Saccharomyces cerevisiae S288C: one gene and its partners. Changing the gene in region 3 together with the main gene of any one other region gives a genetic interaction. Each region holds a gene or a part of one and is shown on either strand. Other genes may lie near its edges. The genes, in order: MGL2, UBC6, REC104 and PSK2.

What was found.
Region 1: mutations in REC104 (region 3) and MGL2 together harm fitness more than expected from each alone (negative genetic interaction), as found in Saccharomyces cerevisiae (2 studies listed by BioGRID).
Region 2: mutations in REC104 (region 3) and UBC6 together harm fitness more than expected from each alone (negative genetic interaction), as found in Saccharomyces cerevisiae (2 studies listed by BioGRID).
Region 4: mutations in REC104 (region 3) and PSK2 together harm fitness more than expected from each alone (negative genetic interaction), as found in Saccharomyces cerevisiae (3 studies listed by BioGRID).

What each region holds. Positions count from the first base shown.
Region 1 is NC_001145.3:685,594-689,518, forward strand, and holds MGL2 (putative carboxylic ester hydrolase), read left to right. Parts: upstream 1-1,922; coding exon 1,923-3,272; downstream 3,273-3,925. Other genes in the region: ERG12 (mevalonate kinase), read left to right, coding at 1-205; YMR209C (uncharacterized protein), read right to left, coding at 318-1,691; DML1 (Dml1p), read left to right, coding at 3,490-3,925. UniProt on the Saccharomyces cerevisiae protein: Converts monoacylglycerides (MAG) to free fatty acids and glycerol. Has a preference for palmitoyl-MAG. Does not play a significant role in ethyl ester biosynthesis. Also possesses ester hydrolase and low but persistent TAG lipase activity.
Region 2 is NC_001137.3:357,553-361,036, forward strand, and holds UBC6 (E2 ubiquitin-conjugating protein UBC6), read left to right. Parts: upstream 1-2,009; coding exon 2,010-2,762; downstream 2,763-3,484. Other genes in the region: putative ubiquitin-specific protease UBP9, read left to right, coding at 1-178; ribose phosphate diphosphokinase subunit PRS2, read right to left, coding at 553-1,509; AST2 (Ast2p), read right to left, coding at 2,950-3,484. UniProt on the Saccharomyces cerevisiae protein: Catalyzes the covalent attachment of ubiquitin to other proteins. Functions in degradation of misfolded or regulated proteins localized in the endoplasmic reticulum (ER) lumen or membrane via the ubiquitin-proteasome system.
Region 3 is NC_001140.6:411,048-414,234, reverse strand, and holds REC104 (Rec104p), read right to left. Parts: upstream 1,329-3,187; coding exon 780-1,328; downstream 1-779. Other genes in the region: KEL1 (Kel1p), read left to right, coding at 1-550; U5 snRNP complex subunit LIN1, read left to right, coding at 1,829-2,851. UniProt on the Saccharomyces cerevisiae protein: Potential transcriptional regulator that is required to activate expression of a number of early meiotic genes including HOP1.
Region 4 is NC_001147.6:241,702-247,597, reverse strand, and holds PSK2 (serine/threonine protein kinase PSK2), read right to left. Parts: upstream 4,102-5,896; coding exon 796-4,101; downstream 1-795. Other genes in the region: PEX15 (Pex15p), read right to left, coding at 1-448; LDS2 (Lds2p), read left to right, coding at 4,851-5,093, 5,157-5,896. UniProt on the Saccharomyces cerevisiae protein: Serine/threonine-protein kinase involved in the control of sugar metabolism and translation. Phosphorylates UGP1, which is required for normal glycogen and beta-(1,6)-glucan synthesis.

The DNA of each region.
Region 1 (3,925 bases), on a different chromosome or scaffold from region 3:
GAAATTGCAAGATGATTTTAGTTACGAGACATTTGAAACAGACTTGGGTGGGACTGGCTGCTGTTTGTTAAGCGCAAAAAATTTGAATAAAGATCTTAAAATCAAATCCCTAGTATTCCAATTATTTGAAAATAAAACTACCACAAAGCAACAAATTGACGATCTATTATTGCCAGGAAACACGAATTTACCATGGACTTCATAAGCTAATTTGCGATAGGCATTATTTATTAGTTGTTTTTAATCTTAACTGTGTATGAAGTTTTATGTAATAAAGATAGAAAGAGAAACAAAAAAAAATTTTTCGTAGTATCAATTCAGCTTTCGAAGACAGAATGAAATTTAAGCAGACCATAGTATCCTTGATACATTGACTCATAATCAGTTAAATAGCCATTCAATCCCTTTGAGCTATCAACTTCATATTCCTCCACAAGGTCCTTCCACCCGCGAATTTTACGCAGCCGACTTAATTCATCTCCTGTAAATTGGACCAAGGGTTTGGTGCCATACTTTAATGGACCTACATTGACCCAATGCAGCTCTTTACAGTATTTCTTTAGTGCTTCAATACTGGATAGATATTCAAACATATTTTCCGCGGTATCTATGAAATATGCGCTACAAATGATAATTTTATCATAGTCTTTGGAAATGGGAGAATATCGTGTGAAGTCCCCCCATAGTGGGTCCAGATTACTGCGGTGGCCAACTTTGCTCAAATCTGCCGATAAACTTCTCAACTGATTATCAAACACTGTCTGGCATGAATATTGTTGTACAAAAGGACGTATCTTAACGTCATGCTTATATTCGAGTGCAAATAGGTTACATATGTACATCAAGGCTGATAATTCGATGGAGTCCACCTGTATTTTGGGGAAAGTGGTGGCAAGAGTATGGGATAGGCCACCCACACCAGCCCCTGGGGTCACGATAAGAATTTTCTCTTTCATGTCCCCGGCACTAATCACATGATGGTTGATTCTACTAATGATAAAATTTTGTAAAGGATCTCTTTCCACACTATAGTAAGAGCTGAAATCACGACACAAATGTGCTAATGCTTCATGGACCACACTTTGGCTGCCTCGAGACGAAACTATTGGAAATACGAAGTCAGGATTCAATTGAATAAGGTGACCATCTTTAATCTTATAGCCGTGTTCCGCGCATATCTTTTCAATTTCCTCTGTAAATTCTTCATCGTGTTCGTTGGAATGAATCAATTTCCCTAAAGTGAACTCAATTATCTTGTCAATAACTCTTGCGTTTTCTCGGATACCCTCATTATTTTTCATTAATTTGGTGAAGTAGCCTAATTTTTGCAACTGATCTTCTGAAATTCCATTTAATTGTCTTGCTCTCCGAAATAAAAGGCCATTATAGCCTTCTCCTCTTGCTCGATACTCATGTAAACGGATTAAATTCCCCGTAAGATCAGGAAGAGTGGGAATCTGATAATTAATTTTAGAAAGATTCGATTGATCGGCAGATATTGATTTCTCAACATCAACCAATTTTAAGGAGGGCGATAAAACGCTGACTTTTTGGGCCAGATTTGATTTTCTTGATAATAGCTTTTCAACATATGATACAAACCACCTCTGCAACGGCTTATTTTGCCTTAGCAGTGTCATCAGGACTACCACAAGGGCTAGAATTATATTTGATGCCAGTGAGCTAACCATTGGCGCTCCTCAACTTCGTATATCAATATTTTTACCTCTTCTATTTCCTGAAAAATTTGTTAATTGTACAGCATCGTTTACGTTTTTTTTTTTTTACGGGTCTTCTTACCTAACCCCGAAAAGTATTGTGGATCTTAAAAGGGTCTCAATTATTTGAAGTTCGATAAAAACCAACTACTTTGTTATTTTAAAACTGTATTATACAAACGCTGGTAAACTTCCAGAGACGATATGCGTCTAAAAGAATTGTTACCTAATTTTTTGATTGTTCATCAAGAGGTCCCTGAGGATCCTATTGCATTCAAGTCCACCGATAAACGAGAGAATGAAAATAAAGAGATCACCATCCCTGAGCTAATAGATACTAAAGTTCCTGAATTAGCTGACGGTGCTACTGACACTTTATATGGTTTACTGGTCAATGGCCATTTACAAACTGCATATGGTTCCTTTAGACACTTTGACAATATATACAAAGTTCAATATAAAAGAATGATAATCAAATACCCACATGGGGGAGAAGGGACTGTGGATTTTGCTGTAAATGGTAGAAGTACCAAAAGAAGAAAAGTGGAAAAAGAATACGTGCCGACAAGTCAACCGGTATTTAACGGAAACTTGAAACGAAGATATTCGTACTATTCCCCTGATGATCCTAAATTGAACTCAGACGATGCTAAGCCTATGCTTATTATTCTCCATGGATTAACAGGGGGTTCGAGGGAAAGCTACGTGAGGGCAATTGTTCATGAAATCACCACGAAGTATGACTTTGAAGCATGCGTGTTTAATGCTAGAGGATGTTGTTATTCTGCAATTACAACGCCGCTATTATACAACGGTGGTTGGACCAATGATATAAGATATTGTGTTAATGACTTGAGGAAAAGATTTCCGAATAGAAAGTTTTATATGATGGGATTTTCGTTAGGCGCATCTATAATGACAAATTACTTGGGAGAAGAGTCAGATCGTACTAAAATCGAATGTGCTATTTCCGTGAGTAATCCATTTGACCTGTACAACTCTGCATATTTTATTAACAGTACACCAATGGGGTCACGATTTTATTCACCTGCTTTGGGTCACAACTTACTACGCATGGTTCGAAACCATCTCTCTACTCTGGAAGAAAACCCTGATTTCAAAGATGTTATCGAGAAGCATTTAAAAAAGATTCGCACTGTGAGGCAATTTGATAACTTGTTGACAGGCCCAATGTTTGGATATAAAAATGCAGAGGAGTATTACAAGAATGCTTCATCATATAAAAGAATACCCGGGATCAGAACTCCTTTTATAGCTTTGCATGCTCAGGATGACCCAATTGTCGGAGGTGATCTTCCTATAGACCAAATAAAATCCAATCCATACACTTTGCTTCTAGAAACTTCGACGGGGGGGCATGTTGGATGGTTCAAAGACAGATCCGGCAGAAGGTGGTACGCAGAACCCTTATGCAGATTTTTGAAAATATTTCACGACGAAATTACTGTAAAGGGCTTAAAACCTGACTTGGAAAATGTTCAACTCCCAGATCCTAATTGCGAACCCATAGCCACAACCTTTCGCGCGAATTAGTTTGTAAATAAGTCAACTTTTTAGATGTGTAACCTGATAATTTTTTTTTTTGATGTTCGACATCATTATTTCTGAATGAAAACGTGAAAAGCTTCGCCAAACTTAAAATGGAAAATTTCGAATGGAACAAAATATAATCGATGCGATGAATTAAAACCTTGGAAGAAGAGGGTTAATTGTTAAAATTACATATATAATTGGCAGACAAGAATAAAAAATGCATGAAGTAGTAACGATATCGGTTTCGCAGAGAGCAAACCATTTGACTACTCAATTCTTCAATATACAAGAGGGCTATTTACAATTGTCTAAAGAACAACAAGTCAATGACTCCAAAATTTTTCTGAATTCGGTTGTAGATAAAGTTTCAAAAACAATTTCATATGCACCACGTGCCTTACTTTGGGATGCCCGTACAGGTAATGGTTCACTAGGAACATATCAATATTCAGAAAGCCAAGACTATCATTTCGGCAATGAAGACAAATTCAAGGAGCAAACAGTTATAAAGACTCATCCAAGAATACCTAAATCCGAATATCAGAGTTCTCTAGATGCAGGAGCACCGCTGCCTTGTTTGAACAGAGAAAATACGATGTATTGGTCTGACTATTCTAAACTTATCTATGGTCCTTCAAGTTTCAATATTTTGA
Region 2 (3,484 bases), on a different chromosome or scaffold from region 3:
AATAAAATGCGATGATTGGTTAAGGGATCGTAAATTGAGGGCAGCTGCAAATATTGAACGCAAAAAGACCTTGGGGAATATACCTGAAGTTAAGACTGCAGAAACCAAGACGCCATTAAATGATAAAAAACGCAATAAGCAAAAAAGAAAATCGAGAATATTGAGCTTCATCAAATAAATCGGGATTGTTTCGATACATCATATAGTTGAGACCCATCTGTTCTAAAAGTATCAATATTAGTGTACCATTTTTTCTTCCTTTTTTAAATAATTTCCACGTTTCTTTCTATTGTTCCTGATCTTTCGAATTTAGTTGTATTTCACTTCACCTACTGTAATAACTTTTTTTTTTTAGAGCACAATAAAATTTCACATATTTTCCAAAAGCAAGGGCGGTAAATCAGAAAAGATTAAGCTTTAATGAAAATCTCATAGAGACCAGATGAAGAATATTGGTGGCAGCATAAGCGCTAATACTGAATAGATATACGCATTTTTTTTCAAAATATCTGTTAGTACATTTATACAAATATATTCGTTTATACCTCTTCTTTAAACAGGCGCATGTGTAAATAAATATGAGACTGATTCTCCATTATGCAATCTTCTGATAGCTTCTGCAATCGTAGGGCTGATATCCACCTGATCGACAATGTCCAAATCCAAATCAACAGGTACCGTGTTGGTGCAAACAATTCTTGATAACCTACTATTTATTAACTTCTCCCTAGCTGAGCCAGAAAATATACCATGTGTGACAATAGCGATAACCTCCTTAGCACCGTGATCCATTAATGTGTCACAGGCTTTCACCAGCGTACCACACGTGTCAGCCATATCGTCAATCAACAAGCATGACTTACCAGCAACATCACCGACAAGCAGCATTCGCGAAACTTCATTAGCTTTTTGCCTCTCCTTATGAATCAAGGCAAAATTCATATCCAGCTTGTCCGCTAAAGAAGCCACCCTTTTCGCACCACCAGCATCAGGCGATACCAGTATCGCATTATTGAAATCTGTTTTGGTCCTTATGTAATTCAACACACTTGGTTCACCGTATAAATTATCAACCGGGATATGAAAAAACCCTTGAATTTGTGAAGCATGGAGATCCATAGTAATAACATGATCACAACCCGCAGTTTCCAAAAGATTGGCAATCAGCTTCGCAGTGATGGGCGCCCGCGATTTATCCTTCTTATCTTGTCTAGCATAAGGGAAATTTGGTATTACTGCCGTAATTCTTCTGACTGATGCCGTCTTACAAGCGTGAATTAAGATAAGTAATTCCATTAAGAAATCGTTGATTTCATGTTCCCCGTAACCAGTTTGGATGATATATACGTCTTCATCACGAATGCTTTCCCCTATTGTAACAGACGTCTCTTTATTTGAATACTGATATACCCCCACTTTAGATAACGGTACACCAAGCCTTTGGGAAATAAGCTCAGCAAGCCCAGGATGTGAGTTACCAGCTAACAACTTAATACTGTTTGTAGACATATTCAACGAAACTTACGACAAGATAGTCTTTGGATGATGAGGAATATCCTCTTCTTAGCAATCCCTCGATGCCTCCTCATATCATCTATTGTTCAAAATTTTTTCATTGTTGAAAAATAGTCACGTGCTTAACCATTTTGCTGCGCGATTTGGTAGGAGGATAAATACACGGGCATACCGTATCTGTTCAATAGCAACAATGTCGGAGAGAGCTAAACTAGCCAACTCGCCATCCTATTCCACTGGTCGCTTGAGTCGATATCCTTCCACAGCAATATTGCACTTTACAATTAGGATAGCCTCCCCAATAAAATAAGGAAATTTTGGTTATTTGTGTTCAGAAAAAGCCGAAATCGATTGCAGAGAACAGAAAGGAACTTTCCGATTATCACACTTTAGGAGCCGTGATAAAGAAGACTACCATCGCATATCGCAGAAAAGACTTTAAATATTAACTAAAACCGCATTCGCAAATTGCAAACAAAGTACGTACAATAGTAATGGCTACAAAGCAGGCTCACAAGAGATTGACGAAAGAGTACAAGTTGATGGTGGAAAACCCTCCACCATATATTCTTGCTCGCCCCAACGAAGATAATATTTTAGAGTGGCACTATATTATCACAGGACCTGCGGATACTCCTTACAAGGGCGGTCAATATCACGGTACTTTAACTTTCCCGTCTGATTATCCATACAAACCACCGGCTATCAGAATGATAACACCGAATGGACGTTTCAAGCCCAACACACGATTATGCCTTTCTATGAGTGATTACCACCCTGATACTTGGAATCCTGGCTGGTCTGTCTCAACCATTTTGAACGGGTTACTAAGTTTCATGACCAGTGATGAAGCCACGACAGGATCAATTACAACATCAGACCATCAGAAGAAGACATTAGCAAGAAATTCCATAAGTTATAACACTTTTCAAAATGTTAGATTCAAATTGATTTTTCCGGAAGTTGTACAGGAAAATGTAGAGACATTAGAAAAGAGAAAATTGGATGAGGGGGATGCGGCAAATACAGGTGATGAAACAGAAGACCCTTTTACAAAGGCTGCGAAGGAAAAAGTCATCTCGTTGGAGGAAATTCTAGACCCTGAAGACAGAATACGCGCTGAACAAGCGTTGAGACAATCAGAAAATAATTCCAAGAAAGATGGCAAAGAACCTAATGATAGTTCTTCAATGGTTTATATTGGTATCGCTATTTTTTTGTTTTTGGTTGGCCTTTTTATGAAATGAAGCCATTAAATGAACTAAACTTTAGATAAATTTTGACAACACAGAATAGAAATCAATAGTATTATATAGACAAAACGGATCTTTTTATTATGAACATTGTGAATTATTAATTATATTTTTGAGTATGTATTGACCAAGAAACCTCAATAAAAATGAGGTGAAACCTAGGGAGACAGAAACTCCCATTTCAAAAACCTTCAACTTTCATTATAAGCTTACCTTGAGCACGTTGTGTAGCCATATAGGAAAATGCTTCCTTGAAATTTTTCCAGGAATAAACCTTATCAACAACGCAATCTACGACTCCCTCATTTAGCAGCTTGCCGCATTCATGTATCCAATCATTCTTCTTGGGGATAATCTTGATATTGGGGTCAAAGTAAAAATGAGAATAATCGTATGACCATAACATTGATCCAAACATTTTTCTTGCATTGGCGCTAGGGTTATCCCAAGAATCAAAGACGTCTTTCTTATAATTTCCAACATAATCACCAACTGTTGTAATATAAGCACCTTTAGCGTGAATTAAAGAACTCGAGTGACTCAAGATATCATAACCACCGATGAAGTCCAACACGACATTAAATTTACCCTGAGTATAATCTTCGGTTTCTTTGAGAGTATTAAAATCATCATAATCTACAACTTTACCGGTATCCAACATACGTCTGAGTGGTTTACTAGATTTTCCCCTACATGACAGATAATTTATGAAAATG
Region 3 (3,187 bases):
GATTAACAAACTAACGAATAGATTGGACGATTTGCTGGAGAGAAGTCAAGAGCTAACAATATCTAAAGAAAAACTATCTTCTGAATACCATGCTTTAAAGATGGAACACAGCTCATTAAGTCAAGATGTATTAGTAAAAGAGAATGAAATCAAAAAAATACAGAATGATTACAAAGAAAGTATCAGTTCTATGGACAGTGCAAGTAAGGCACTAATGGTTTCACAAAGAGAGCTAGAGAAGTACAAGAGTTTGAATAAAAAGTTAATCGACGAGTTAGATGAATTGAAGTTCAAAAATGGCGTCTGCAGTGAAAATTTCGAAAATGGTCTCAGAAGCACCGAGGAGAGTTCCAATAATGTAAAAAATAGCAACAGCATAAGAGAAAATCAATTCAACATCAAAATAAATGATCTGAAAGCGGAACTCTTCATCACTAATCAAGAAAGAGATGACTTGAAAAGTGAAGTGTTAGAGTTGAAAAAGAGATTATTGAATTTGGAAAATAACACCAAACAAGTTAATGAAGATGCTGACAGCGATCTACTATAAAAGACAATATGCGTAATGAAATTTCACTTTTCATGTGTAATAACAATAATAATAATAAACATTGATAATAAACATTAATAATATTAATAGTAATCATAACAATTATAATAATGATATAATATAATAATAACTGTACTCTTGACAAAAATTTATATATCATGGAAGAATAAATGAAGGAGAGAAATAGTAACGTGACAAATAGCTTATGCTAACGATATCAAACTAAATCTCAGGGACTACTAAACTGAAATATGCTCCCATTTGAAGCCTGTCTCTCATACATCAGCGCAGAATAGTCCGATTGCAGTATTTGGGCGGTGCTGGACGAAGATATGGGTCTGATTTCATTTACTTCACTTCGTAGCAATGTAAAGCTAAATTCATCCTCTATTTCATCTCCTGCTTGATCATTCCTCTGTATTAAAGGATCGTCATATAATGTGTCACTATACAGAAGACAGGTATCATTATTATTGCTTTCCACCCTCTTCGGCATGCATACTGGGTCGCCTAAGATAAACGGAAGAGATACTGTTGCAGATTTCTTAAAGGAATTGCTTAAGAGGTACGTTGAAGCTGTTCGTTTTAACCCAGGCTTAGGATAGTTTGTCCATGACATGATACAATTTACTGCCTTATCAAATTCATCTTTATTTATCCTTTTTACGGTCTTGTTATTTAACCCAAATTGAATGCTAACCCTTTCAGTTACAAAGTATTGGTGAAGAAAGTCTTGCGTACATGTGATCTTATTTGTATCTTCCTCCTCGATGGACATGTTGTCCAAGTTGCTGTATGTTCTTTTCTTCAGCAGTTTGTTTTCTTATACAAAAGATATATTTTATTTGGTATAGCGGAAAATAGCCGCCAAATATTGTGCGTCAAAGTTGAAGAAACATAAAGTTTAACACTACTGGTTTATGAAAGAAAAGACTACATTTGTAAGCCTACTCCAAATTGACCTTTGAATAAGTGTGGCTTACTCTATTAGCTAAAGGACATTATCACTCATCACCATGAACATTCAGTAGTAACATAAAAGTCCCTGCCTTGTTTGTGAATGAGGGTCCCTTCCTTTACATTCTACCAACATAGTCTCCTTTTCTTCCATTTATGCCCTAATAATCGATTTTAATTACTTAATGGGTAAGTTTCTCTGACTAGATTAAAAGAAGCGCATCCGAACAAATTGGAATGACCATGCTAAGCTGCCTTTTAAAGAACAAGGGAAAACTTTGATAAAAACACTCAAGTGCACCATATTGTTTGTAGAAGGATATGAAATATACGCAATACCCGAACAGCTCAAAACTGAAAAGAAATAGTGATCGACGTGAACACGACGAAAAGCTTAGCGATGAGTTACATAATCAAAGTACGATATATGAAGATGAAGAGCTAAGCAGGGCAGAATATGATTCTGATTCTGATTCTAGCGTTGAAGATTCTACAGATAATGAAAATAGTGGGAAAGAAATGGATGAAAAATCCTATGAAAAAAATGAAGATCACGTCGAAGACCATAGAAAGCGAAAGAAATCGAAAATTCAGCTTTTGGATATTGCAGAGTTCAAGAAAGAAAACTTAGCCGACTTAGATTATCAGATCGGTAATTCAGAGAGCAAGGTAGAAAAAGGTGTGAATATAGAGCCATTTAATATAGATGACGAAATAAAACATGGGGTATTCGATAAAGATGGGAATTATATTAAGACAGAAAACGCCACAGAAAATGATCAACAAGATAATGAGGAATGGATGAATGATGTCATAAATACAGAGGAGGTAAATCGCTTAGAAAAGGAACAAAGTGTCAAAACGCAGAATTCGAGACATTATATGGTCCACGAAGCATTAAATCTTTTGAAATTTTTTCTTGTTGATGAGAATGAAACAGTACTGGAATCCTTGGGCAGGTTAAACAAGCTGCGAAAAATTGCCATTTCAAAAAAGAACAAATCATTGAAATATGTTATTCACGGAATCGAGCTATTATCTGATTTGATCAATATACTAGAAAAAAAGGGATTCAGTGAAGTATATGAATATAACCGCTTAAAAGTTCAGGATGCTATAGAAGAGGAAATTTTCGATGACTCCTCCAGAATAGTTAACCATAAAACAAAGTTATGGGGCTTCAAGTGGTTGAACAAATTAGATGAATATCACGGCCTGTACACGAACTATGAAATGTCTTATTGGCAAAAATCCTACTTCAAAAACAGTGTTATAGTAAAATTTCACAGCGAACCAGATCGAGATGAAAACTGGATACATGTATCGTGTTTAAGTTTCATGTAAGATATAAAAGTTGAAATTATTCAAGAGAATTGCCTGCGAGACTATATAGTACTAAGTTTATTGTTTGGTCAGATAAATTGATGAATGTTGGATAGGAAATTTTTATCAATCATATCAAAAGATCTGAGTGAGCTGAGAAGGTTATCATCATATAACAAATAAACAGGACTATATTATTGGCAGACAAAAAATGAGTATCACAAGTGTACAAGGAAACCAGGACAGTAAACCTACTGTCGCAAATTTCCTCTATCCACCTGGCGCGTAAGAATCACCTGATAAAGATATCGTTGAAAGCATCGACCTAGACATTTTTAAGCTGCCATAAATTGGGCT
Region 4 (5,896 bases), on a different chromosome or scaffold from region 3:
AGTTAAACTGAATAACCTTGATACAGCATCGAAAGAATTTATTGATGACCAAAAGTTTACTGAGGTCACCGAGAATAATTTTTCTTGTCTCAATACATTGAGGGGTATCTAACGTGAAAATATTCAAAATCTCACTCTGCAGTGTTAAACCTAATTTGGTAAAGCTGGGCATAATATCACAGGCGCTGACAAATAAATCTAATATCATAGGGTTGGACTTGAAAACGGTAATATCAATAAATCCAACCTCAGACATTTTTTCTAGGCAATCCTTGATATCTCTTTTTATGAAAAGGTTCACACATTCTTGAAATACTTCACTCCTCTGATCATTTACCGACTTGGTCGATTCATCACTTTCAATGAATAAGTCATCGTTAAGTAAATCCCTTAGAGAAGAATCGAGGGAATGCATAGGCAGATTGTTCATTATCTCACTTGCAGCCATTATTCACAGAACCCTCTTGTATAAACCACACCGTAGTACGTTCTGCTAGTGCCTCTTTCTGTTTACCTAACTATTTCTCTTGCCTAAATATGTAAGTCTACGATGACTTTTCTATGGTACTTGATGTCACTCCGACGGCGATAAGCCGCTCAGCGCAGAAGTTTGCCCCAAAATAGAATGAAAGAAAATACTGCATAGAGGCTGGACAAGAAGGATATAGAGCAATGATATGATATTAAAAATGTAATTAATATATAGCCAAAAAAAGAATAGAACATTTATGAAGGTAAATGGTTATGAAAATGGATTAAATTATTCTTTCCCTTTATCTTGGAGAGTACGGAAAACTAGATTTTAAGCCATTTATCTTCATATATTTCATCAATAGTAGGTCTTTTATCAACTTCTCTTGTCAAAATTCTTTTTATCAAACTGATGCATTCTTCACTGACATGTTCCGATTTATCGAACCTTAATTCACCTTCCAAGATTTCATCAATGTTGTAATAAGGATTCTCTTTATAAATTATGGTATAAAGTAGCACACCAAGAGCCCAAATATCTTGTGGTTTACCTTTGTAAGAGGAACCACCAAGGACTTCAGGTGCAGCATAGTCCATTGTTCCCACAAAAACATCGAATGGTCCACTCTTGATATAGGCAGCCGAACCGAAATCGATTAATTTTACAAAGCCATGAGAATCAACAATAACATTTTCGTCCTTTATGTCTCTATGAACAATTCCTTGGTCATGTAAATGCTTTATACTAGCGACTACCTGTTTAAACACCAGTTTAGCTTCATGTTCAACCATATCTTTTTTGAATTCGATAACATCAAATAGATCAATACTACCAGTTTCTCCATGGACCGGTGTTTCAATGTAATAATAATCGTCATCTTCAAAAAAATCTAATAACTTCAAGATATTTTCTTGGGAATTTTTATTCAAGGTCGCCATAATTTGGATCTCAGAAGGTATAGTACCTAATTTTCTATCTCTCACCCATGTGTCTACTAAAATCCTCTCTTTGAAAATCATTTTGATGACCACGATATAGTGTTCTCTGTTATGAATGCATAAATTGACTTTACCGTACGCACCCTCACCCATCACTTGCAGAATAGTAAAATCAGAAAATTTCTTTATGCGCTTTTGTGAGCCTATATTAGCCTCTGGAGTAGTCAAGTACGTAGCTTTTAAAGTAGAATTTCTTTTGTCTAGCTCATTTGTTTCCTTTTTGATTTCTTCTCCGTTTATCGGTTCAATTATCCTCATTATAAATTTTTCATCCACTTTAAAGTTGTCGTCCTTTACAAATTTTGATTTGTCCTGCGTGTACATTTTCGTTAATTCAATTTTATGTTTTAACTCAGGATCATCAACCATTGTCATGTCATCGTCATAGTTATTGTTGTCATTAGATTCGATACCTCTCACTTTACCGCAAGAAGTTTCTCGTAGTTTTTCATTCACTTGATTTAAGTCTACTTCATCGTCTGAATTAGAAATCGTTTCAGCGGAGCTAATCGACAGATCAGCCATTGCCTTCAAAGTATTCACAGGAATTTTTTCCGAAGATTTCTTGGAAGATGCACTGGAACTACCTCTACTGCCAACGACATCAATTTCGTTCTCCTTTAACATCGGTAGCTGCGAAGGAACGGTGGTATAATTTTCAATGACCACGTCTCTTGAGTGTGTAATCCATAATAATACAGCATTCGTATTCAAGACCCGTAATTGAACATCCACCTTTATCAAATTACCATCTTTGTGACAGCCGTCTAGACCAATAGAAGTGTAAAACGAGTCCTTATCATGATGCATTTCAGCCTCAATTTTTCTGAAAAAATGTTCTGTTAAAACCAATCCTTTATTTTCTGGTAATGTGATATTTAACATAGGATAAGTTTTATTGATATAAGATATCATGTCCGCCAAAGAAGGAACCAACTTAGTAACCGAACTACCGGCCAACTCGTGAAGTCGCAAGCCAAACATGTTTTTGGCGACTGATTTGTTGAAACTTAAAAGACTTAAAGTGTGACTGTCAACAATAAATAGCCCAGCCTGATAGGGCAAACTATGAATTTTTAATTTTATTTCGTTTTCCAATACGGAAGTTGTAACAGCACATGGTATATTTTCAGATAGACAATTCAACGTAAAATATCTCTCTTCGTTGACATGATTTGCCACCCTGATAGACAAGGGTAATAAATCATCATCTGCAGAAAACACTTTTCCAAAACGTACATCATCAATTAGTTTACTCAGTGAGTGACTTACTGACCCAATATCGTGAATTTCATTTGCAAATTTTACCGTTTTCTTTTCTGTCATTGGCGAAGTTGATTCTTGCTGCTTTTTCTTGTCAAAGTTTTCCAGAAAGTGTGTTGTATCAATAATGCTGTCCACTGAAAAATCTCTCAAGTTTAACATGACGTCAATGTAATCGCAAGGCGTTTTTTCAAATACGCAGACCAGTAGGCCATTCTTCCGCTTGGCCCATAGTGAAGCCCAAATCAGATTTGGTACATTATTATTGCTTGTCGAATTTGGCTGGACGATAGGTATAGTTTCTCCGGTAAACACAATTTCTTGGTTATCATCTTCTGCATTCATGATTTTCTCTAGAACAAAATTTCTGCTATCCGTATGAATAAGGTCTAGTAAAGTAAGTGCCTTGATAACATTCTTTGATATACCGAACGTTAGACACGCCAAATCATTGGCAGCTTTGAAGTTCCAGGGGTATTGTTGAGAACATGTAAAAATGGCCTCTGGACCAGAATTTTTTGCAGATGTGAAAGGATGAAGAATTCGGCTATAGTCCTGTTGTGGTTTGATGTCTGCTAAGGAGACTATATCATCGTGTTTCTCCTCATATTCATTATATTGCGATTTCGAACCTAAATCTTTGTGAGGGAACTTCTTGTAGTTTTCAAAAAATGGTTCTGCTAAACTATCTAATAAAACCTTTTTCAAAGTTTCTGATTTTTGAATGTCTGAATCAAAGTTTATTTTCTTGATATTCAATAACGATAGCATGTGTAAATCGGAAGCTCTTTCGAAGGAATTGTTTTCCAATGCTAAATTTAGCAAGAATAACAAGTTTTCTAACTCGGACTTGGCTGGATTCAGTTTACTGGCAGTATCATTATCAGGCAACACCATTAAGGACGTTGCTCTCTGTATCACGGGTCTACTAGCAGGAGATGGCATATTGGATACTAATGGTGAAATTAGAGACCCATTTAACGGATCTCGCGATGCTGATAACGTGGCAGTCTCTGTTAAGTTTCTTGTGTGTCTAAGTGAGGGGGGGTATGCTATTACGGGTGCTTTTTTCTTCAACTCATGTAAGATGTCAGGACTGTTTACCATTATTTCCAAAGACCTTCTTAAGATGGTCAACCTTACTCCCAGTGAGTTTGGTGATATGGGATTATACGAAAATGCATGCGGCGACTCATTAGGTACAGCAACAAGGTCCGAACGATCATCATCACTGAATGTTGACGAAAACGAATCGACGGACGAGGAAGCGTGTTGGTACAAGCATGGAGGTTTAGAGAGCCCTACCAACGGGGTATTTTTAGAATATGAAATGTCGGCAGGAGCGGCTGCACTAACCGGGTATGTCATTGTGTTCTTTGTTTATGATTCTTTACTTTAATCTAGCAGGGCAGAGGAGTAACAATAAAACGCCCTGCAAAGAAGTATGATTACTGTTCTTGCCAGACTTAGAATTCTAAGTGTTAAAAGTCACCAATAAGGAAGGAAAAAAGTTTATGATAGTTTATACTGTTGTTGTTACTACCTGCTCCGTTATGTTTCTAACAAGGAATAAAACAGGGTATAGACGTGATGTCAGCTTAAAGAGGAAAACGAAATATGTAAACTTTGTTAAAAATAAACAGGGCCCCTTATTGATCGTTCGCGATGCTATTATTTTATAAGCCAGCCTTTATCGTTTCTTTTGATCTTGTTTCTTTTTCTTGTTTTTTTTTTTAACTTCGTTCTCTTTTCACGTACTGATTACTCACACCAGGAGAAAGAAGTTGAAAAATGCTGTTATTCTCTGGAACACGCTATTAGATAGTACTTGCTGGTTCCGTAGACAAACAGCTCTTGCGCTTTATCACTTCGACAAGTGTCTTTACAGCTTCGCGATGACATATCGTCTCTTGCCCCTGCCCCACCTGTAACAATAGCTTGGCCAAAAAAGAAAAAAATGTTCCGACGAATTTTTCCGCTGATTTTGGCTGATCGCGTCGCGCCACAAAAACGAAACTTCCATAATAAAACATTATATAAAGCTTTTTATTATTATTATTATTACTTTCTTAGTTATAGCATTAGAACTATAAGAGCTGCTAAGACACCAAGCAAACATGTCGACTAGACCCCAACCTGATTGGTATTACCATAGACATCCATATGCCTCTACGCCACTGGCAGAAGGGGAGGAACCACAATTACTCCCCATCCAAGACCAAGGGAACCATAAGAAATCAAAAATTTGGATGGCATACAAGGCTCCGATAGTTCGATGGTACAAGAATGCTATGCTTGTTAAAGACAATTTTTGGAAAGACCTAGAGTCGTCGCACCAGATCATCTGGTATCCGTATAAAGTATGTTGATGTTCCAATAAGCAGATCATGTTTTTTAAGCCGTCATACTAACCGCCTTTGAAGGGAATTAGCGAATCCGTGGGAAACTCGGATTATTTGCATCTATTTTTCCTAATATTTGGATACTACCTGCTGAATCTCCTGCTTATTGTTGCGTTTACGTCAATCCTTGCGTGGTCCTTGTTAGTGTGCATCTATTTGCCCTTTCTCGGACTCTTTGCGTTACCTCTGGCTTATATGCAAACTATTCTGATTTCCACAACGCTATGTAATTCTATGGTGAAGGGTACCGATTTCGTTCTTTTCACACGTATTTATGGAGTGACGTTCGCAAGAAAGGGATTAACAGAGTTGAGTGAAGCCTGTGAAACGATAAGTTTCACGCCCTTTGTCTACAGAAGGTCACATCGTTTGGGTGGCCTCTTTTCGAAACGGTTTTACCTCGTCTCTTTGCCGCAGTTTTTCATTTTTTTCTTCTGGTACATCTTCATAGCCTTTATGTTTCTTTTATTGTTGCTCGTTCCAATAGTGGGTCCAATTACAATCAATATGCTACCATTTAGCCCCGGAATGGGATTTTACTATTTTGAGCCTTATTTTGTTGACGTGCTACATTTGGATTCGCGCAAACTTTCCAAAGTTTACTACAAGGGCTTTGCCAAGTGGCTCCTTTACTCGATATCCAGCGGTTTATTAGAGTCTATTCCCATTCTGGGTGGGTTGTTCATTGGAACAAACGCAGTAGGTGCTTCGCTTTGGATAGTTAAAGAGATAAAAGACCGGGACCAGCCAGCCGTACCTCC